Oreochromis niloticus: one gene and its partners. The main gene of each other region encodes a partner of the protein of the gene in region 3 in a complex. Links are inferred from orthologs where the notes say so. Each region holds a gene or a part of one and is shown on either strand. Other genes may lie near its edges.

Region 1 (7,038 bases), on a different chromosome or scaffold from region 3:
AAGGAATCAAGTTTTTATGGTAGATTTATGTTGTATTTACCGAATGTAAACACGTTGATGTGAGGTGTTTAGACAGTCGTGTGTTAATTTAGCTTCAGACTCACCCCCGCTCAGTGTCCCACTCCTCTCCGCTGTTAGGGTACACCACCCAGCTCATGTCTGAGGTGTGCAGTGGTCCAGCAGAGTCCAGCAGCGGCTCCACCACGTCTGGAGGACAGCAGTTGACTCCCACAGCGAGCAGCTGCCTGGATCTGCTGGCAACCCGCACGGCGTCAGCGAACAGGCTGCCGTCCGATATACACTTCTGGTCCTGATGGCGAGGTGAGTCATTGCGTGACTAACAACAAACTAATATGTATCTTTCACCATTGCTGTTCACCGGCAGTGATTACCTTACAGGAGAATGACAGCCAGGCTTTCGAGTTTGGAAACTCCCTCAGCAGCTCCACCACAGCCTCCGCCTCTTTGATGCTCGGGATTGTCTCAAAGGCGATGAGATCAGCTCCTGCAGCTGCTAAGCAGTCAATCTGAGGCCGGTGCCAAACTTTAAGCTCCTTCAAATAGATTAAAGACACCTGAGAACATTTATTCTCACCTGTCTCAGCAGTAAATGGATCTATAAACTTACTGAGAACAACATCAGAAGGATCAGGCAACATAAATAATCAAATCTGACCCCCTCGGATTCAGAATCGTGCAAAACGTTCCCTTCATACTGTGAATATTTTCAGTTTAAGGCACTCAAAGTACAATATAGGTAAAAAAGAAGTCCTTTCATATGCTTTTACATGGTAATATGAGCTGAACGTTTACCCAGAATGCACGTTTTAAAATATTCTCCAGTGGATTATCCAAAAATATGTAAAACATCCAGGGTACCTATGCTGGTTTTTGTTCCCCTGCATCAGAGATGTTAAACTGCTGCAGTTTTGCTGCTAATTATTAGTTTACAAAGCTTAAATGTTGATCTCTGTTGTACTCAAAATGCTTTAATTTTTTTTGTAACTCTGAAAATAGCAATAGTATTAAGGTAAAAAGTGTCATAGTGTCATTAAATATACTGAAGTTATTGTCCCAAAAAAGGAGGTACTTAATGATTTTTCATGGAACAAACCTAAAATATAAACAGAACCAGAACCGGAGATATAAACAACTATTCTGGGTAATCTTCTCAAAGCAGGCATAAAGTCCAGTACGTGGCTGAGGGGTACTTACTTCAACACTCATCTGCTCTGCGTAAGCTCCAGTGTACTCCGAGCCATCGTGCAGAAAGGCCCCGTACGGCCCCACAGAGCCTGCCACCAGGGGGCGTCTCTGCCCTTTACAGAGAAATAAAATGTGAGATTATATCACAGTTTACAGCCAGAGTCGGCTCAGCTCAGCGTAAGCTCTCCTACCTGACTCAAACCCCTTCACCGTCTCTTTGGCCAGGTGAACTCCGGACATCAGCAGCTCTCTGGCGCGTTCAGCGCTCACCTCCAGGTGGCTGATGAATCCTGGGATACTTGCCTGGTATGTGGCTGTCGTGATGACATCAGCACCACTGAGCAGGAACCTGTTCACACACACACACAGATTTAAGACTCTGAAACTAGAAAGTTTATTTACCAACACTTTGCATGGACACACCTGTAATGAGCATCTCTTATGGCCTGAGGATCAGTGTGCAAAAGCCTGGCGCTCCACAGAGGGTCTCCCTGCATATGTAACACACACACACATGAATTTCAGTCCAGATTCACAGAACAATATTAATAAAACATGTTATAATTGATCTGTAAAGACCAGATAAAAATACTATTCACGTTTTTACGTACTTTACATAAATAAAAACACAAGTTTTGGTAACATTTATTGGATATTTTACTCATGTCCCTATAGATCATGTACTAGAAAGTAACATTACAGCATCTCAACCTTCAGAGTTATTATAGTTTTATATTTTCTAATTAGTTTTTATTTGTATTTCATTTTGACGTTGTTTTGAAGTCCGTTCAGTTTTTTTGTTTGAAAATATTTACATTTTATTTCATTTTTATTAGTTTCAGTGTTTTAGTTTTAATCTTTTTAGTTTTTGTAATTATTATCTTTTACATTATAGGGAGGGAATGTGTCAAGAGGCCAGATTTGGGAAATTCAGTAAAGATATTACAATAAAAACATAAAAGCTGTGAAAATCAAGTGACTCACAGTCACAGACAGGCTGTGAGAACAGGGCCAGAGGATATATTCAGGTCATTTAACCATCTCTCTGAAAATAAATACAAAACCTTGCAGGTATTTTCTTCTGCAAAGATACAGAGTATACTCAGATCACTGATGGACCTTTGATGCTCAGGTTTGACTGACTCGCTAAAGTTCAGCAGGCTGTGATTCTAAGTAGGGAATAGCTGCAGTCTACCTCCCAGGTGAAGCATTGTGAGCAACTAACAAGTCCCAAGTCGCACAAGTTTCACCAGCACGTATGAAAGGAAATGCAGGTGTGGTGACGACTGGAAGCTTCTGGGGTGGAGTGGACAGAGTTTTTCTAACTTCACAAACAGATGTGCCGTAGACAAAGAAACTTAATGTAAGAAGAAAAAAAACTTCTGTTTTGTTTTGTGCACTTTTGAATCTCTTTAGGATTCAGTGGGTTGGACTTCTCAGGGCCACATATGCTCCCATCCAGGTGACGTCTTTTTCGGGGAAGGCCTTGCGTATTTCAGCAGGGGGATGGGAAACAGCATACTTCATCAAATCTGAGTCTGGGGGCTGAACTGCAGGCCTGTAGTCCAGACCTTTCATCAAGCAAAGCGTCTGGAGCATCATGAAACCAAAAACACAACAAAGCAGATTCAGGACTGCTGAGCAGCTAGAATCCTGTATCAGACCAGAACGGGATGACATTCCTCTCCTGATAAGTCCAGCAGCTGCTCTCCTCAGTTCCCAGACACATGGCCTCGTCCCACCCTTTTTTTTATAGATATGTTGCTGCCATCAACTTCAAAATAACCTTGTTGTTAATGTTTTTTTTCTTAAAATGGTACTCAGTTTTCTGTGTTCTATTTTGAATAAGATATGGGCTCATGATTTGCAGTCATTTCACTATGTTTTTATTTACATCTTACACACTGTTCTGTAGACTGTTGCTTTAATGCTTGTATTTAAATTTAACCCTAATAATCCTAACTTCAAATGTTATTTTATTTTATTGAACATTCTCTTTATTCAGAGTATTTGGCTACATGTTTTTATGTTTAAAACTTTAAATATACAGAAATTAAACACTAAACAGACTTTTCACATATTTAGTTTGTTGGGATCTGATAAGCCTGGCTAAGGTCTCTGAACCACAGCTTTAAAATTACTTTTAAATTACTTGTATAAGTCAGTAACACAACTACAAAACAAATAGCACAGCCACCATGGAGACATGGATTGACTGAAAATAGACACAAAACATCTCCAGAGAGAAATTAAATTAGTCTAATCAATAGAAAATGGTGACCTGTTGCAGGTTGTTTTTATGATTTACCTGCAGTTTGGCTCCATGCGCTTCCAGATCAGTTGCCAGTCCACCATCTAGGATCAATGGCCCTTCATCATTAACCATCTGTGTGAGAAGAGCAGAGGAGCCCATGGAGCAACACTTCATTAAAAAATTTACTGGAGAATTCTTTGCACTGCTTTTCATAAGAAGATCATGCAGTCAAGTTATTAACGCTGACTGCTCTGAAATAACACCCCCGGGCAGCTTAATTATTCACACAGATGAGAGTGAAGTGCAACATCAGATCCTTCATTTTTCACTATGTTGTTCTTCCGGGTAACAGTGCAATGAAAAGGTGCGTTTATGGCCGCTGAAAACTGAACTTCTTCGCAGCATCAGCAGACCGCCACTAGGTGTCCTCATACACAATAAATGCACAGTGTATTTCACCAGAACCCGACTCTTGCCTCGCTCCTTTACTTTAAAAACCACCACTGGAGCAAGACAGCGCAGCTTTTCTTTTGTACTGCTTTATAATTATCATGTATACAGTTTAATTAATGATATCCATCCAATGATTTATGACTAATATATTACATTTTAAGGTCTGTATAAAAACAAATAACAAAAACTGTGCTGAAAGGTCAGAATTCCCATGAACACGTGAATGCACCTCTGCAGTTACTATAGAAACGAAGTACGGCTAATGTTTGCTAGCTGACAACAGTGCGCTGTCACACAGAGTTTACAGGGATGTTTTAAAAGATGGTGAGTAAAGGTTCCCTCCTGTCATCAAACCGGGGGGCGTGAGGGCTTCGGTGAAGGTAAAAACTTCCGTTAGAGCCTGAAACAGGTTGCTGTTTGCTACCGTTAGCATAATAAACACAAGCTAGCCGAGCAGTTCTAAACATCAGTGCTTCAGGCTAACGGGTTAGCCGTTAGCTCCTTTAAAAATATCATTTATGGCTTATACACAGTTTAACTACAGATACTACAGGTAGCTGTGTGGTTAACGTCTAACGGTGAACATTAGCTGTGATTAAATTAGCTAAAGGTGTAGCTGAGCAGGTGCTTTTAATGCTGGTAAACCTGGCATCAAACATGTTTCTGCTCAAAGAGTTTCTATCCATTCAGCTGGTGCCCATGTTTTCTGTTTATTCTATTAACTAGGCTGAGTGGAGGAGATGGTCTGAGCTTTTAGTTGTGAGAGACATCCTCATCTTTCACATGGTGTGTTAGACGACTGATTAATGCTAAACTGCAGACTGGTTAATCAATCAATCAAATTATATTTGTGTAGCACCTGTAGGAGGTGGGTCCAGATACTTTACAGAAAACAAAATGCAATGAAACAGAATATGAGAGGAAGAAAATTATGAGCATGTTAAAAATAACTGAAAACATAAAACATTACAAAGTAAATAGCCTGAAGTGCAATAAGACTGTTGGTATTTTAAGAGCTAATCGAAGAAATAGGAGATATAGAGTGGCTTAAAAGAGGGGGAGGAGGGCAGTCATTTACTATGAAAAAATAACCCATTTTGAATTCTTCTTAATTAATCAGACTAACAGCACCAAAACACTGTTACTGATTTATTTGTCCTTGAAGAAATTGTATTCATTCATCCTACTTTTTACTGCCTCTGTGCCTTTCCAGTGGTGCCATCCCACATTGATGGAGCACTGCTTTGAATATACAGACTCAGAAAAGTAATAGTAGATTTAGCACTGATGTTTTGCTTGTTCGGGATAAGACCCGGATCATCGCCAGGCTTCATGAAGCAGTGGTGCAAGAGATAGGGAGCGTTTTCTTTGCAAAACCAATTGGATTAATGATGAGCAGTAGACCAGGAAACACCTTCAGCAAATCATCCTTTAAACATGATAACATTGGCCTGGTGGTGATTAGGACAATCACTGCAGCGAAATAGTCTGTGAAATCACTTCCTGTGTCTTCCTAGCTGCTTAATCTTGATAGGAAACGGCATGAGGAAGATAAGGAGTGTGGAAACACGAACTTCAATGTCCTAAAGATGGATTTTTTTTATTATTATTAGTCCTTTATTTATTCAGGTAAAAATCTCATTGAGATTTAAAATCTCATTTCCAAGAGAGACCTGGCAGAATGATGAATGCAATGCATGGATGAATGCAATGATTTGCAAATCTCATGAGCCCATATTTTATTCGCTGTAGAAAACCCAAAAAATGATCTTCTCTGTGGTATATTTGGTTTTGTGATGCTCCAAATGTTTTCGTTTGGTGAAAGGTCTGATCTGCAGGAAGTGACCTGCAAACCAAATCCAGGCTTGTGTTGCTCAGTGGCAACAGTGCTAACCGATCGTTATCCGTGTTTACTGAATTATTTTTGGTTGACAAGGTGAACTGAATAAAGTCTGCTACTAGTCAGGTGAGCATACCTGATCATATTGAGTCATAACATTTCTGTGCTTAATAATAACAGAAGCCTTTGGTTTGTAAAAAGCCAGATTCTGTAAATATTGACCACCTTATGTACTGCATTCATTTTCTGTTAATAAACACATTTGTGGAAATGTACCAAAATGTAAAAATAAACCTGAGCTGTGTGGATTCGTGCCTCCCAGTTTACATCTGTGAGGTTTGCATATTCACCTGAACATTGGCCTGTGGTTTCAGGCGACATGGTGACCTTTTAAAAGCTCAGTATGTTTAATTTGTTGGCACAAATTCAGGGTTTTCCTGGCTCAAACTGGGCCTTTGGGGTTGAAAAAACACACATGATTTGTCCTCATAAGTGAGTTAGTTTCAGTTTTTTGAAATAAATTGTCAATTTTGTGTTATTTTTGATCATTTTATAATGAGAAATGTCTAATATGCTGGAGGAAATTAATCATGTGGGTGAAAAAAGAATCAGTTGATTTTCTTTTGGCTTTTTTGGGGTTGCCAGAAATTCTCCTTTGCAGAAAGAAGCTTAATATCGAAGTTATATTTATTTATTTATTTTCAGGAGGACCGGTTTGCCTTTCTTACAGAGTGGTATGACCCCACCTCCGCCCTCCTGCGGCGTTATCAACTGTTTTACTACCCCAGAGATGGCTCAGTAGAAATGGTACGCTTTTACCCCAGTGCTTACTTTTTGTCTCTCTTTTTTCTGCCTGAAGGTGTGTTTATGAATGTTCTTTTTTTAATCCAGAATATGAATACCTTGTAATGGAAATTGTAAATAGCTTATTTGTTTTAATTAACTCTATATTGATGAAAATTTCAGATTTTTTCTTTAGCATTTCTGAAAAATATACCTGTTTCACAGTTCGATGTAAAGAACCAGCGGATATTTCTGAGAAGGACCAGATACGATGACATCCATCAGGAGGACTTATTTATTGGGAATCGAGTGAACGTGTTCTCACGACAGCTACATCTGATCGATTACGGGGATCAGTACACAGCAAACAAACTCGGCAGTAAAAAAGAAAGGTATGATCATTCATCTAACTTGCATTTGGGGGTGTGTCTACCCATGTAGACATGATTGATCTATTTGGAAAGTTATGGCCTTACAAATAAATCCTTTAACTGTAACCTAC
Region 2 (6,967 bases), on a different chromosome or scaffold from region 3:
CAGCGACTGAAGAAACTGATTTTACCACCACGATCCACACCCTATAGCAGAGCAAAAGGTAACAAACAGGTACAAAGCAAACCTAGTTAAACCTGTTTAGTTCATTTGTACTTTCCCTCTGCAAGCCTGTAACATAACACAGAAAGTTTTGGCACAATCGCAATAATAGAATGTACTGTGACTTCTACTGACATCGCACAAGACCGATGGCACAGCTTTTTAAACACAAGGCGGTAGATTATCCACAGTACAGATATATTTTTCATCATGCGTCCACTCTAAACGTTCCTCACACCACCTCATTTAAAGAAACAATGAGCCTTGACACAATATTTACTTTTTTTTAGAACAAAAATGCACTGTAGGTAACCCAATACTGTCAGTTGCATTCTGTTTGCACAAAAACATTGATTTATTTATAGAGTGAATAACTAAAATTTCAGTACATGCACACTGGGCCTTTTAATGTTTCTGTGTGAAGCATCATAATTAACAAATTCACACAACCTCAATTCTGATCTTTGGCTGCTTTTTTAAAATGTTTACCGCACGTGTTGGCATGTTAATAGAAACACACACTAACATTTAATGATGAAAACTCTCTCATAGTTCAGTTCAGTTTATTGTTGAGCTATTGTGAAATCACAGGGATCCTTTATCAGACTGTAAAATCTGTCATGGTTGTTACGTCTATTTGTGAAACAAATCTCAACATGCCCAAAGCCATGAGACTCAAAGGGGACTGGTTTCTGAATTACAGCCACAAACGAGTCTATACATGAAATAATTAGAAAACTCAGAAGATGTGTACATGACTAAGATACCAGGCATATAATTACTGTGTGTACATCTCATTAGAAACACCTGAAAATTAAACCAATTATCATATTTAAATACTCTACAAACATTTGTTATTAGTATGTTTTTAGCAGCCTGTTCGTACCACAGGCTCTTTACATCATAGCAGAAATGGTATAAAGCCTGAATTTACATTTAGCTTCACTTTACAGATGTGGTCACAGGGAGAATCCTTCTTCTGACAAACAGATGAATGTTCCCGACCCTGATCTTAAGTATTCAGCAGCCTCTTTCCATCACAGCAGCAATGCAATCAATTTAGCCCTAACCCATTTACCTAAAGCATTTATCCAGACCAATTACAGCAGCAGACCTCATCAGCATCCCACATCCTACACCAGTCACCGGCTTCTCTCTTCATGCTTCTAGCTACATGGCTCCATTTCACCCTCCACACAGCAGGGAATTGTATTTAATCAGCTATTTGCAACAGTTGGGAGGCAGTGCCTAAGCTTCAGCTGAGCACGGAGCTGGGGTATAAACCTCACTGGCTCTCATGTGAGCAGGGCTCGCACTGTCTGGATTATTGTCAAGCACATTACTGCCGAGCCTAATGTAACCCATATAGATGCTGCCCATCGATTTGACTAGCAGGGAGAAAACAACTGGATTACATAATTCATGTTCCATTTTGTTCTACTGGGAGGTAGCATAATAAATGAGACTGAGTGGCAACGATGACATGAATGATAATAGGTGCCTGTCTGCATTTCTTGGCATGTTCTGTCATGAGCAGATAGGTAATCACCCACCCCCCACTTACCGATACTGTGAGGTGACTCAACCTTTCATTCATTCAAATCACACCGTGTTTGTTGTTTAAAGTTGTCTGAACAGTATCTGCGAGAGTACTTGGAACAATTTTGTAGATACCAAATAATATCTCTCTCTCATTTCGACATATGTATATATATACATATATATATATGTATATATATATTTTTTTTTAAATGTTTTTCAGGACTAACAGATATGTGAAGAGCTTATTATTTAACACATGCTTCAAAATAAATAGCTGATATATATTTAAAGAATATCAGTGAAAGGTGCATTTTACATGTGCTTTCACTCTTTCAGAATTAAGTGGGGAAAGATCAGAGTAGTGGGGATCTAGTGTCATTTGTGGAGCAATGAACTTTAAAAAAAGTAACTTAAAACTGCCGAAATGTCATTGTTGAAGTCGAAATAAAGGGAAATGGGGAAAGAAAAAGTTAAAAATATATAAGTTGATAAAGGTTAATTAGTCACACGATTTTTTAAGTGTCGGTCAGTTTCCCAACCACTCCTCATTGAATTGCTTTCCACTCCCTTTATTGAAACCTAATCCTCTGAGAGCCGCTTCCTTGGAATTTAAACCAACAGTTATAACAAAAAAAGTTCACAGGTCTGATTTAAAATGGAAATAGCTTTGGTTTGTAGGCAACTAGTCCCACATGTTAATGTGAACATAAGTGTATTTAATTTAAAAAAAAAAAAAAAAAAAAAAAAAAAGGAAAAAGGAAAAACAAACTTACGTATCGGCTGATAAGAGTACGCAGAGTGCTGAAATCCATCCCCATTCTGTTCCTCTTCCCTCTCCGGACACTTCTTCTGCTCTCTGTCTTTTTCTCCTCCAAAGGTTATTTTTACTGCGGGCGCTAGCTTCTTTTTAATTCTACTCCTCTGTCCATGACTTTCTCTTCTCCCCCTTCTTCTTCTTCTGAATTGGAATAAAAAGGACTCGCTTCCAAACTCACCTACGGACCCCGTGACGGGCTTTAAACGGGGGTAGTGACTGTCTGTGCGTCTTCTCCTACAGTTTGAAGGCAATTCACACGGGTACCGAGCAGCTCCTCCTAAAGACTAGAAGCCAAACTAATATCCAGCTCTCTCGCGCTCCCTCTCTCTCTCCCCCCTCTGCGCGTGTACTAATAATCTTCTTGTCTCGCGCCGCGGCCAAAGGAGATTTTCTTTCATGTACGTCACGCGGAGCCAGGTGGTGGCTTTGGAACCGGGGGTGAAGGCATGCGCGCTCTAGTGTTTGTGAAGAGTAATTATTGATTGGGTGTCTCAGTTAACTGTGGGATATTTAGGGGATTTTTTCAGGCGCCGCAGAATTAAATTTAACTTAAAATAAAATAAAACAAAACAGCCCGGTGCTGTCCATAGATATGGTGCTGAAACCATTACATAAAATGTCAAAAATACACATAACTTTCAGCATAAGACTCATCTCATTTATTTATTTATTTAGTTGTTTGTTTATTACTTGGGTTAACTAAAGTTTCGTGATACAACTAATAACTCATTTGAAAGGCAAAATTTCTATTCATTTGCATCTCAAATCTCACCCACTTTTTCAAGCTCGGTTTAAAATGAGAAGAGATTTTCATAATATTTTAGAATCATTATTACAAGTTATTACTGCTGTCGTGACGCATCGGTTTGTAACAGGCAGGTCAGCGGGGTCAGAACAAAATAATTCATGGCACCACGTTTCAGGAGGGAAATATTTTCATCCACTTGTCCGCGCCCTGTTTCCTGGAGACGCTTTTCGGCGGGTTCTGTTGAAAGTCCGCCGTAAAAATAGAAATAATAACAACGGTTTCCTGTTAGAACCTTCAAAATAAAACCTACGTGATGGATTTTGGTTTGAACTGTAACAACTTTATTAATGATATGTCATAAATAGGCTTTTAGTTATTTTGCTATTTCTGCCATTCATTATTTATTTATTAATGGGACTGGTAGATAATTAAACATCCGGCATACATGTTGCACCTTTGGCCTTACTTACCAGTCAAAAGGGGTTTTTTACATTACAAGTTCCCCTTACATATTAATTTATCTGGTTATCTTGTCTTCCTTGTCTTTCTTGACACAGTATGTATTATCGTCTTGTTATTTTTTTGCGCAACAGTGCTTCTAATTTTGATTTGTACATTATTAATTAGCCTTCGTTAGTGTTGTGCAAGTTTTTAACGAAATAGGTAAGAAACTTTGTGCTTTTATTTTGAAGGCAAATGGCGCTGGTCGTTGGCAAATTCTTCCTAGCTTGCCTGAAGTTGTCAAAATGGCGTTGCTCGTAGCGGGGGATTGGAGTTAGTTCATATTATTCAGTCACATTTATTCATTTATTGGGGAACACACTGCCCATTTGCCACGGACAGCATGGCAACCCTGGATCAGAAATCTCCAAACGTCCTTCTCCAAAGCCTCTGCTGCAGAATCACGGGGAAGAGCGAAGGTACATCCATTACTGCTAGCAAGCTTCGCGCTACTGCACTACTGTAGTAGTCAGGAATTGCCAAACCTAACCTCATTCAAAAAATCAATTTTTTGTTGTTTCGCGTCCTTTTATTAATCATACATGAGTCACACGAAGCAGTATGTGAGTGTTGAACTTCCAGTGGCAAATTCGGCATTAATATTTCACATTAGACCGCTCTGATTCTTCTGTTTATTAAACGTTTTAAGCAGCGGGCGCCGACTCACCCGGTTTGTTTTGCAGACTGAATATTGTAGAAAACGGTTGAAGTTTTACTTAAATAACTGCTGCTCAGTCTTTCGGGCAACTGCCGAATTGAAGATATGATTTTATTAATTTCTTAAGGCCTTCAGGAGTCAACATGTCACTATAATGTCAAATTTAAATTTATATTGAGATAAAATATATTGATTTCTTTTTATGTGGCTATCGCTTTAGCTGTGTTGAAAAACGGCACGTAGCGGGGGCTCGGTTCGCGTGTCTGTCAGCCAATTGGCTTGGCCAGATGCTGCACATCCAGCTGAACAGCTTCACGGTGCTTCCACGAGTCGCTGTCGTACACCGTTACTTTTGCTCAAATAAAGTGCCTTTCTCGGTTATCTGTGAGATTGCTAGCCACTTAGCTCTGATTCTAATCTGTGTGGTAAATTGGATGCAGTTGCCTGGCTAGCTGTAGGCCCCTGTTGTAGATAGAGACAGAAGCCGTGTTTTTTTTAGTCACTTTTGATTAAAGGCCCAAAACCTTTGCAGTTGGCAATTGCAATGAAAAATAGCTTTTAAAATCTGTATCCAAAGTGTTAGTAACTGTCCCATCATGCATTATCCTTATTAAAGTAATGGCAAATCTGCACTCTCCTGGTCTGTAGGTTCATTTTGTTATATCCTGCTTGTGCTTTTGGAAAAGAAGTAAAACATTATAAGTAAAGTAATGATGTAACAGGGGGAAAAAAAATCCCCCAGTCAACACACTGTCATTTGTACATTCCTTCAAGCTGTTAGTCATGTCTTGATATTTGTTTTTTTTCCAGCTGAAGTTGCCCACCAGTTCCAGTACGCAGTACGAGTCATTGGCAGTAACTATGCTCCCACTATTGAACGAGATGAGTTCCTAGTGTCAGAGAAGATCAAGAAAGAGTGTGAGTGGCATTTGGATTGATGCTTTCCTCCCTCCCTCTGTGAAAGTAAATCCATTATAATCCACCGTATATTACTTCATTTAGTCATTGTGACATCTGATCCCCTTATGTCAGAATGCCAGCTTTAATACATGTGCTGGAAAATCTTTATTCCACCATACTACAGAATCCTATTTGACTTAAATGGGAGCAAGGTCACACCATTAGTGGGAAAACATTGATCCAAGCTTTGCTGCAGACTGTAAAACCAAAATAGCACAGCACTTACTGTACAGCATTTATTTATCCCAGGTGGACTTATCACAACAAGTTTTTGCTTAGTCTGTGTGTTTTTTAATTGCAACATTGCCACAAAAGCAATAACTGGATATTTTATATTGGTTAATGATGTGAAACAGTCAGACATTTAAATGAGATTAATTTGAGTGAGTTTAGCATATGAAATAATGTATTCTAGTAACTACTAACGAAATAGCATTTGTCCTGCAGCTCTAAATGCCAGCAGTGACGGGGTGTACCAGAGCTGGAGGGCTGGTTGTCAATATGAGGGCAGTTATAAATACAAACACAGTAACTTTGGGCTTTCAGAAGGGCTCTGCAGTCTGCTGGCTTTCTTTTTGAACTTCCACAATACATTTCCTACTTTTCTTTGTCTTGGTCTGCAGTTTGAAACAATATCCTGTCTGTGGAAAGTTTCTTTCTGTTATTTAAAAACCTGTTTGGCACAGGAGCATTTCCAGCTCTGTTCATTTGTTAAATGAGCCATTCATGGAGGGAGACACGACACCTAACACAATCGGTCTTAATGCTCTTGCAGTGCTGAAGCAGCGGAGAGAAGCGGATGCAGCTCTGTTCTCGGAGCTGCACAGGAAACTTCAGACACAGGTTGGTATTTGGATTTCTCTCTGAAAGGTATTATTAACCACAGAGGTATTAAAGCTTTAATGGAACAATTTCCCACTTGACTCATGATACAGCCTGCTTGCATAAAACAGAGGCCTGTTTAATTTGGTTCAGAGTAAGCCTCTGAAGGGCTGATAACACAGTACTGGTCATTAATTGTATGTTAATTAATTTATTTATTAATATGTCTCACCAGACGCCACAGTCACCCCTCCAGATAATAATACTGTTTTGTTTATTAAATGAAAGAGTCTTCCAAAGCATGCTTTTTGTCCTGTCTCACTCCCCTCACCCCTACTCGATCATGGCAGATGGCCGCTCCTCCCTGAGCCTGGTTCTGCTGGAGGTTTCTTCCTGTTAAAAGGGAGTTTTTCCTTCCCACTTTCACCTAGTGCTTGGCCATAAGGGGTTGTCTGATTGTTGGGGTTTTCTCTGTATTGATTTAGGGTCTTTACCTTAAAACGCTTTGAGGTGACTGTTGTTGTGATTTGGCGCTATGTAAATGAAATCGAATTGAACTGATTTGAAGGTGGTATTTTTTTATTCTGTTTTCCTGTTTGCAGGGTGTTCTAAAGCATCGCTGGTCGGTTCTCTACTTGTTGCTTAGCCTTTCTGAAGACCCCCGCAAACCATCCAGCAGGGTGAGGAACACACACACACTTAAAAACTCTTAAAAGCTTTTAGAATAGAGTAACTTTGCATGAATCAGAGTTAAAAGTCATTCTTATATATCTTACACTGGCCCTCACCCCAGGTGAGGTTTCATCAGATTGGCTACCCCTTTACAAACAGATGATCTGAACTGCAGATGGTGGAAGCTTCA
Region 3 (7,411 bases):
ACACATCAGAAACACACACGACGCGTCCAAACAAACATTCTTCATATTAACAACCAAATACTTCAAACTTTCTCTTTTTTAACATCAACTTATTTATAATAATATCAAAGAAAAGCAGTAGCATTTACAGTCAAACAGGTACTGTAGTTGGCAGAGTCTCCCTCAGTTTCTGTCTGAATAATAAAAAAAACAATCTTCAGTTAAGTCCGTGTGGACATGTTTTTGAATCACTGGGATGCCAGTTCCATGAAGAACTGGAAACCAGTAACCATGACTGTAACCAGGATTTCAGATTTAGTTTGTCTGAACTAAGACATAATCAACGCACTGTTTCTCCAAGCTAATCGAAAAATTAAGAATAATGTGATCAATTCAATAAGGTGCAGCCCTGCTCTCCTAATATGATATCACATATACTGTTACAGTGGGCGACACTCATATTAACAATAAAACCAGTGTTTAGAAAAACCAGGGAATGTGCAAGTAACACCGTGTGAGCCAAAAGCTGCCCGTTTTTCTCCTCTTGGCTCTGTGTGACATCAGCGAGAGCAGGCGTGGCTCTGTCAGACACACAGCACACTGATCATCCTGCTGTTCATGAAGGGCAGCCAATTAGAATACAGCTGGCTGAGAGGGAAAGGAGCTGAATCAGCTGGTTTCAGACAGGGGGAGGGGCTGAAACAAATAAGAATGACTGTGAATTATGTTACAGAATCTAAATATGGAGATGGGAATGAGCGTAAGAGGCCCCCCCTCTTTAAGTGCAGCTCACGACAGAATAGCAATGTCATTGCAACCCTTCACGAGTACGATTAAAGGAAAAGACTGACATTTATCACTGAAACAAGAAACAACTAAACTAAATGCAGACTGGTGCGCCACAGTCTGATGTTTTTTTAATATTCTCAGTAAGGAACAGTACATCATGTTTAGAAAAGAATCGTTACCCTGCCAGGTTATTGAAGCTGTAATTGTTGAGTCCGTGTGACTCACTTTGCTTGTACGTTGTGAGTTGGAACCTAAAAAACCAAAACCCAACTCCTACCAATCAAATAAAACCTCATGTACTCCTGTGTTACCCTCATGAAATCAGCAGATAAAAAGCTGTGACACAGGAATGAACTGAAGGGGGAACGAACTACTGGCCAAACTGCTTTTGTCATAAACAGTCACAAACAGTGTAATATTGCAGTTTTGCTCATTGGTGGCTGCTGGACTTTTAACCAGTGCCACAGGCGCTCACTCCACACACTTTGGTTCGCTGTTTGCTGTCTTTACAACTCAGATAATGGCTGAAAATATCAGGAGCAGTGGAGTGGGTTTGTTTTTTTTGCAGACTTGGGACTAGTTTTATTGTTCTGGTGATCGTGCACGCGTAAGATTATTAAGAAATGAAGGTATTGTGTGAAATGCACCATGACAGTTAATGCTCCAAGTTACCTAATATTCTCTGGGCTTAGCTACGATGGTCAGCTGCATAACAGTCTGGTCCCGACACAGGCGTGAACGCCTTCAGTAGCTCCACCCAGTCAAAGCTTCTACGATGAACTGTCTTCCAGCTGCTCGTCCTGAAAAGGGTAGCTGAGAGCAGGAGGAAAGCCCTGACTGCGGGGCTGTTCGTCCAACAGCATCAGATCATCCACGTCTTTCCCTTTGTACCTCCGCCGACAGATCTTTACAGTGACTTTCCGCCCCTGAAATACTTTAAGGGCTTCTTTGGAAGCCATGGCTCTGGCAGCGGCCTCGTCGCGCCCGTATCCTGTGCCCATGAAAACAGTCTGACAGCGAATTTCACACACGTGGCCTTCCTTCTGTGTGCGGCCCGCGGGGAGGCCCGTGATGTCCTTCAGCGGCACAAACACGCACGTCAGGGTTTGCTTGCACGACTCCACGCAGCTGCGAAGGATTTCAAAATGGTCCAAGTTGGGCCCAAAGCCCCCGGCTGACACCAGTTTCCACGCCACAGCCTTGTACAGGCGGTTGAAGAAGGGCTGGTGCTCTGCTGGAGCCTGTGGAGGTGGTCCCAGCTTCTGACTCGCAGGCCGCGCCGCCGTCCTGAGCGCAGGTCTGCTGTCGAGCTCATTAGGCCCAGCCTTGGCTCTTTTCACGCAGCTGTCATCCTCAAGCTCTGCAAAAGATGACACAGCAGGCAGGAAAACGTTGACTGCACAGGAATCTGTATTTAATGAGGAAACAGAGCCTCAGGTGTGCGTGTGTGAAAGGGAAAAAACCCTGTGCGTAGGTAATTACACTGAAACCTCACAGCAACAGAGAACAGCAGTGAAATGGATTTGTTGGTCAGTAACGAGCTACAGAAAACTGTCAAATCTATTCTTAGATTGAAGTCACATCACTTGTAAAAGCCATCCAAGGTAACCTTAACCTGTTATCATGGAGGATGAAACTAATGCAAATATTACTCTGTGTGTTCATATATGTCCGTGTTGACACGTCGGAGTGACAGGATCTCTTTTGCTTCTTAGCAAGCTTGACGAGGTTTGTGCATTATTAGCAAGCAGTGTTTGTTTTTTGCACTTAAAAACGCTGCAGCCCGTTCGTGACAGATCCTGCTCTGTGTGTGGCTTAGTCACAAACACACAACAGTCACAGCCCAGATTTAAAGTATTACAGATTTACTGCTGTTTGCATTCACAGCCGCTATCATGGATTGTTGAGTCAGGCTTGGTCGGGCTGCTCCGACTTTCTGAGTTGGAAATCTGACCTGAGGCGATGTTCCAGTGGAAAATTCAGAGTGGGAAGTCACTAATAGTATTTGAATCCAATGCAATCACAATGCACAATAGCATTTTAAGCATTGTTAACTGGGCTTTTTAAATGATATACACAATGGAAATGATTTCAACTACAGCCGGCACTTAAACGGTCCTTAAATGAAATTTATAGGAAAATCAACATGGCTGTATTATATTATCTTTGCGGGCTGTTTTTGATGATATCATCAGTACAGGTGTGTTAATGTCACCTGTCACCATTGGTTTCCTATGTATATATCACCCTGAATATTCCAGAGAAGGTAGAAGTATGAGACTACAGGCCAAACACTCAAAAATCAATTATTATGATTTTCTGTCGTTATCAAGCAGCAGCAGAAAAACCTGGACCCATTAAATAACAGGTAGTTTTCCCAAATGTAACCTGTGAAGATGAAATGTTAAACATGTGCACTGCTTACCAGCTGATGCGCTCCTCTTTCCTCTGGCTGTGAATTCATCTTTTGTTGTTTTGTGAACAGGAGGATCTTGGACTTTTATCCCTTCTCCCATCTCTTTGATCTTGTCCATTACAGCCTGTGGATAGCTGAGGGATTTAAAAGGTAACAATGAACTCTTATTATAGCGGAGAGCATCCACAGCTTGTCATTCTGCTCCATCAGCGTGTCCTACCTGCAGCCCAGGAAAACGTGATTAGCCCAGACCATGGACAAAGAGAGCAGCCTGTCCAGGCTGCTGCTGGAGACTCCTGGCTTCACTGTCGGGAAAGCCTCCATGTTCCTAAGGATGAACTCTCTCCGAGCGACCCACTGCTTGTTGCTCTCACAGTAGCTTCTGAATGTTTCCACCCATTGGGCCAGCTGCGGATTCTGGCCCAGGTACTCTGCAACCACGTCCTCTCCGCCACTCTCCCCCGCCATCCCTGCACTCAGACACGGTTTTACGGTTAGAAGAACAACAGAAAACTAGCAGCAGCTTATTTATTTGTTAGCGGTTAGCAGTGCTAGCGTGAATCATGCCACTTAAACTCAACAGGTCTGCGTTAGACGACGTAAAATGGCGGTGGCCCTACTAGTTTCAAACCGCTGGTGTTTTCCTGCTGACTTGCCTGAGAGCAGCCTAACGTTTGTTGTGTCAACTAGTAAATATACCAGAGTGGACCCAACAAACCGACTCCACGAACTAACGTTAGGACAAACGGCTAGTGGAATAACATTAGCTACAGCAGAAGACACGCTAACAGCAAAAACACAGACATAAACGAGAGTAACGGGATTGCCGTCGCTTGCACGGGAAATATAAAGTTAGTATTTTATACAGTAACTACGACATACCAAGCGCTCTCCGTTGCGATGTGCTTCAGCTAGTTACATGACCGAATGATGACGCCAGACTCGCGACGATATCTTAGTGCACAGGAAAAAAACTACAATTCCCATGAGCTGGCTTGTGTTTACGCATCTCGCAGAGCTAATTGAAACCCAAACGAAGCACGCGTGGAGTTGCTAAAGGCTCTTGTCGATTTTAAAAACAAATAACATCGCAAGCCTGACTCTTCCACTACCGTGGAGCGATGTCTCCGGCTCCTGCAGCACTCTTCCCGTGATGCTTTTCGCGCTCACGTAACAAATCTGCGACGGCTCGGGCGGCGGTTTGTTTTGGTGGCTGAATGGGAATCTCTCCGCTACAATTTGAATTTCAGACACTTTAAGTTTCATTGACATGATTCACGAGCTCTTACTGGCGCTGAGCGGATACCCGGGGACGATTTTTACATGGAACAAACGAACAGGTTTACAGGTAACACGGAAACACTGCAGTTCTCTGATACGATAACTTCACTCAGATGTTAGCTAATATGCATGTGGTTACAAGTCAAAGCTTGACAATTTATTACAATTCAATTATGCATAAGCTAAATTATTAGCTTTGGTAGCACTATATTAAAGATATGCATTTTTGCTAGGATAGCTTACTGACAATTGGCAGGTTTGAATACTGCAAGATGAAACGTCACTCACCTGCCTTTTTATTAGGTACCCCTGTTCGTTTACGCAAGTATCAGCCAATCGCATTACTGCAAATCTGTGCATTTAGGCATGTCTGTGAAGGTTCTCAGTCATTCAGGTCATCGTAGTCTAAGGATCTTGGATAGAAAAGCGTCTGGACTTAAACTTTAAGTTGCTTGAAGACGTTTCACCTCTCAGTAGAGAAGCTTCTTCAGTTCTAGGGTCAAATGGTGGAGAGTCCCAGATTTAAGCTCTTTGGGAGTAACCCCTCCAAAGAGGGACAAAAGGACCCCCTGATGATCCTCTACCTAATCACATGAGCCAAGGTGGGTCCCAATCAGCCAGGGTTTCGGGTGAGCTCATTGTGAAACCTGGCCCCACCCTATCATGTGATTTCCTGAGGTCAGATGGCCCAGGATGTGAGTGGGCGTTAAGGCGTGTGGGAAGGATCTCAAAACTGGATTATAGATGGCAGACAGTTGGTGTCGTAAACCACCGCCTCTGTTCAAAGATGGTCGCTCACAGTGGACATAAATCATCTGTCCTCGCTGTCCAAAATGTGAACATTGGCGCCTCGAAAGAGTGACCTTTGACCTTTAGATGCAGATGGACTGCTGAGTCTTGTCCCGTGGAGGTGGCTCTTCTATGTTGTGCGCTTGTGAAGTGGCTGTTTGGTCTCTCCAGTATAGAGGTCTGGGCATTCCTCACTACAATGTACAGCATACACCACATTGTTCAGTCTGTGTTTTGGAGTTTTGTCTTTGGGATGAACCAGTTTGTGTCTGAGTGTGTTGCTGGGTCTAAGGTAAACTGGGATGTTGTGCTTGGAGAAAACTCTCCTGAGTTTCTCTGATACACCGGCTACATGTTGGATGACAATGTTGTTGCGTCTGTCTTTCTTATCCTCCCTCGCTGGTGTCTGATCTTCTTTTCTGTGCCTCTTTGCTGACTTGATAAACGCCCAGTTAGGATAACCGCATGTTTTCAGTGCTTCCTTTACATGTGTGTGTTCCTTCTTTTTCCCTTCAGGCTTAGAGGGAACATGTTCTGCCCGGTGGTGTAGGGTCCTAATTACTCCAAGTTTGTGTTCCAGAGGGTGGTGGGAGTCAAAGAGGAGGTACTGGTCCGTGTGTGTGGGCTTCCAGTAAACTTCAGTGTTGAGGTTTCCATTCCCTTCAGTGCGCACGGCACGGTCACATGGAACATGGAAGTGGAAGAAGAGGCTCTTGGCTCTTTTAAAAGGAGAGCACCTAGCCACTGGTAAAGATATGTGGACAACACCTGGGTCAAAATCAAAACACAAGAAGTGGAATCCTTCACTGCTCACATCAACGCTGTGGATAAAAACATAAAGTTCACCAGGGAAGACACAAAGGATAACTGTTTGCCATTCCTGGACTGTGCTGTGCACATTGAAGAGAATGGCAACCTCAACATCGAAGTTTACTGGAAGCCCACACACACAGACCCCTCCTCGATTCAGAGATGGTCTTTCCCTTTTCATGTAAATGGCCTTGTTGACTCTGCGCTCAAACCAGCGTTCCTCCCTGTCCAGGATGTGTACATCCTCATCACTGGCCTGTAGGCGTAAATAGTCCTGGCCTGATGATCTGCCATCCTCTTCGCCAGAGGTTGTTTGGTTTCCCTGATGTATAAATCCTGGCAATCCTCCTGGTGCTTAACACGATCCCCAAAGGAGATCTGTGTTATACTGATTTTATGTTAGAAACCAGAGAAAGGCTTTTTGTGTTTTTAAGCTCTGCTCTCATTGAAATAATTACCAACATTACTTACTTCCCTTCTTCCTTTTGCTGCAACATTGTCTTTCATTGCTGTTATTTACATGTAAACTCGTCTGTTTTGTATCCATGTGTTTGGTGCTTTTTGCAGTTAAAATTTACAAGTGGGTGAATGGGTGTGGTATTTTTTCAAAAGGTCTATTCAAATGAATATTCCAGCTGTAAGCAGGACAGTGTGTGGGAGCGCCATTTGATTTGATTTGATGTCTTTTATGAAAGGCAAAGAAGGAACATCTTGTACACATCTCATTCTGTGTGTTTAGAAAACAGATGTGTTCTAATAAAAGTGTGAGATGGAGAGTGTGCCTGTTGTGTGTCAGAGCTAAGCTGACATAACTCTGTCTTTCTTTTATGGTGTAAGCAGTTATAAAAGTGTAATACAGACAAATGTCTTGACTATATTTAAATAGAAGTATCAGAAAAAATGTTAGCAGTCTTTGTTTTACAGCTTCATATATAGATGTCCTAATACATGCTCAATCATCCAGGTAAGTAAATCTCCAAAAGTTGATTCTGTTCATCTGGACGTAGCGGTGAATGGTACTCATGGCAATTGATCAGTGGTTGTTGATCAATGGTCATGAGAATTTGCATAATCATGATGAAGGTGACCTCCCAGCCCATTGTTCCTTCAGTGGGCTGGTTTCAGTCATTATGCAAATGTACTGTTTATAAGATTGGGGAAACCTGCAGTCAGCTGAGACTGAAGACGTCACCTGGATGAGTGACGAAACGTTTCTTCCACTGAAAACGTCCAGATGAACAGAATCAGCTTTTGGAGAATCATATGGTAGTGAGTTGTGGCTGAAATATTCAGTGTATAATTCATTTATTAGGCAAGTTTCAAAGATAATCATTAGGGGTAACAACT

The links. Proteins that work in one complex are often made in the same cells at the same time.
Region 1: tubgcp4 (region 3) and nme7 share a complex: the UniProt entries of both Homo sapiens proteins name them as parts of the gamma-tubulin ring complex. The link is inferred for Oreochromis niloticus from reciprocal best matches to the Homo sapiens genes TUBGCP4 and NME7.
Region 2: the proteins of tubgcp4 (region 3) and tubgcp3 are in contact, whole or in part, in a cryo-EM structure (PDB 7QJ0), measured with the Homo sapiens proteins. The link is inferred for Oreochromis niloticus from reciprocal best matches to the Homo sapiens genes TUBGCP4 and TUBGCP3. Residues at the interface, in NP_001273343.1 of Homo sapiens: His35, Pro36, Ser37, Glu38, Ser40, Val41, Arg44, His116, Leu117, Ser118, Ser120, His121, Tyr124, Phe125, Asp127, Gln128, Leu131, Pro134, Lys159, His160, Cys162, Gly163, Gly164, Leu165, Pro166, Arg169, Leu630, Ser631; in NP_006313.1 of Homo sapiens: Arg252, Asp253, Tyr256, Gln259, Ile261, Asp262, Lys264, Arg305, Ser312, Leu313, Arg315, Leu319, Gln322, Ser323, Cys325, Ala326, His329, Arg333, Tyr336, Arg337, Ser340, His343, Ser344, His424, Pro425, Tyr593, His595.

What each region holds. Positions count from the first base shown.
Region 1 is NC_031986.2:33,233,025-33,240,062, reverse strand, and holds the start of nme7 (nucleoside diphosphate kinase homolog 7), read left to right. Parts: upstream 1-3,947; 5' UTR 3,948-4,234; coding exon 4,235-4,237; intron 4,238-6,458; coding exon 6,459-6,560; intron 6,561-6,761; coding exon 6,762-6,928; intron 6,929-7,038. Other genes in the region: zgc:172121 (homocysteine S-methyltransferase 1), read right to left, coding at 105-310, 393-575, 1,216-1,319, 1,398-1,555, 1,630-1,697, 3,515-3,673. UniProt on the Homo sapiens protein: Possesses an intrinsic kinase activity. Displays 3'-5' exonuclease activity with a preference for single-stranded DNA. Does not seem to have nucleoside diphosphate kinase activity.
Region 2 is NC_031986.2:12,174,901-12,181,867, reverse strand, and holds the start of tubgcp3 (gamma-tubulin complex component 3), read left to right. Parts: upstream 1-3,876; 5' UTR 3,877-4,008; coding exon 4,009-4,084; intron 4,085-5,133; coding exon 5,134-5,241; intron 5,242-6,058; coding exon 6,059-6,126; intron 6,127-6,707; coding exon 6,708-6,785; intron 6,786-6,967. Other genes in the region: atp11a (probable phospholipid-transporting ATPase IH), read right to left, coding at 2,373-2,417. UniProt on the Homo sapiens protein: Component of the gamma-tubulin ring complex (gTuRC) which mediates microtubule nucleation.
Region 3 is NC_031965.2:1,219,086-1,226,496, reverse strand, and holds the start of tubgcp4 (gamma-tubulin complex component 4), read left to right. Parts: upstream 1-4,454; coding exon 4,455-4,532; intron 4,533-7,411. Other genes in the region: cdkn2aip (CDKN2A-interacting protein), read right to left, coding at 1,539-2,128, 3,194-3,318, 3,405-3,654, 4,297-4,456. UniProt on the Homo sapiens protein: Component of the gamma-tubulin ring complex (gTuRC) which mediates microtubule nucleation.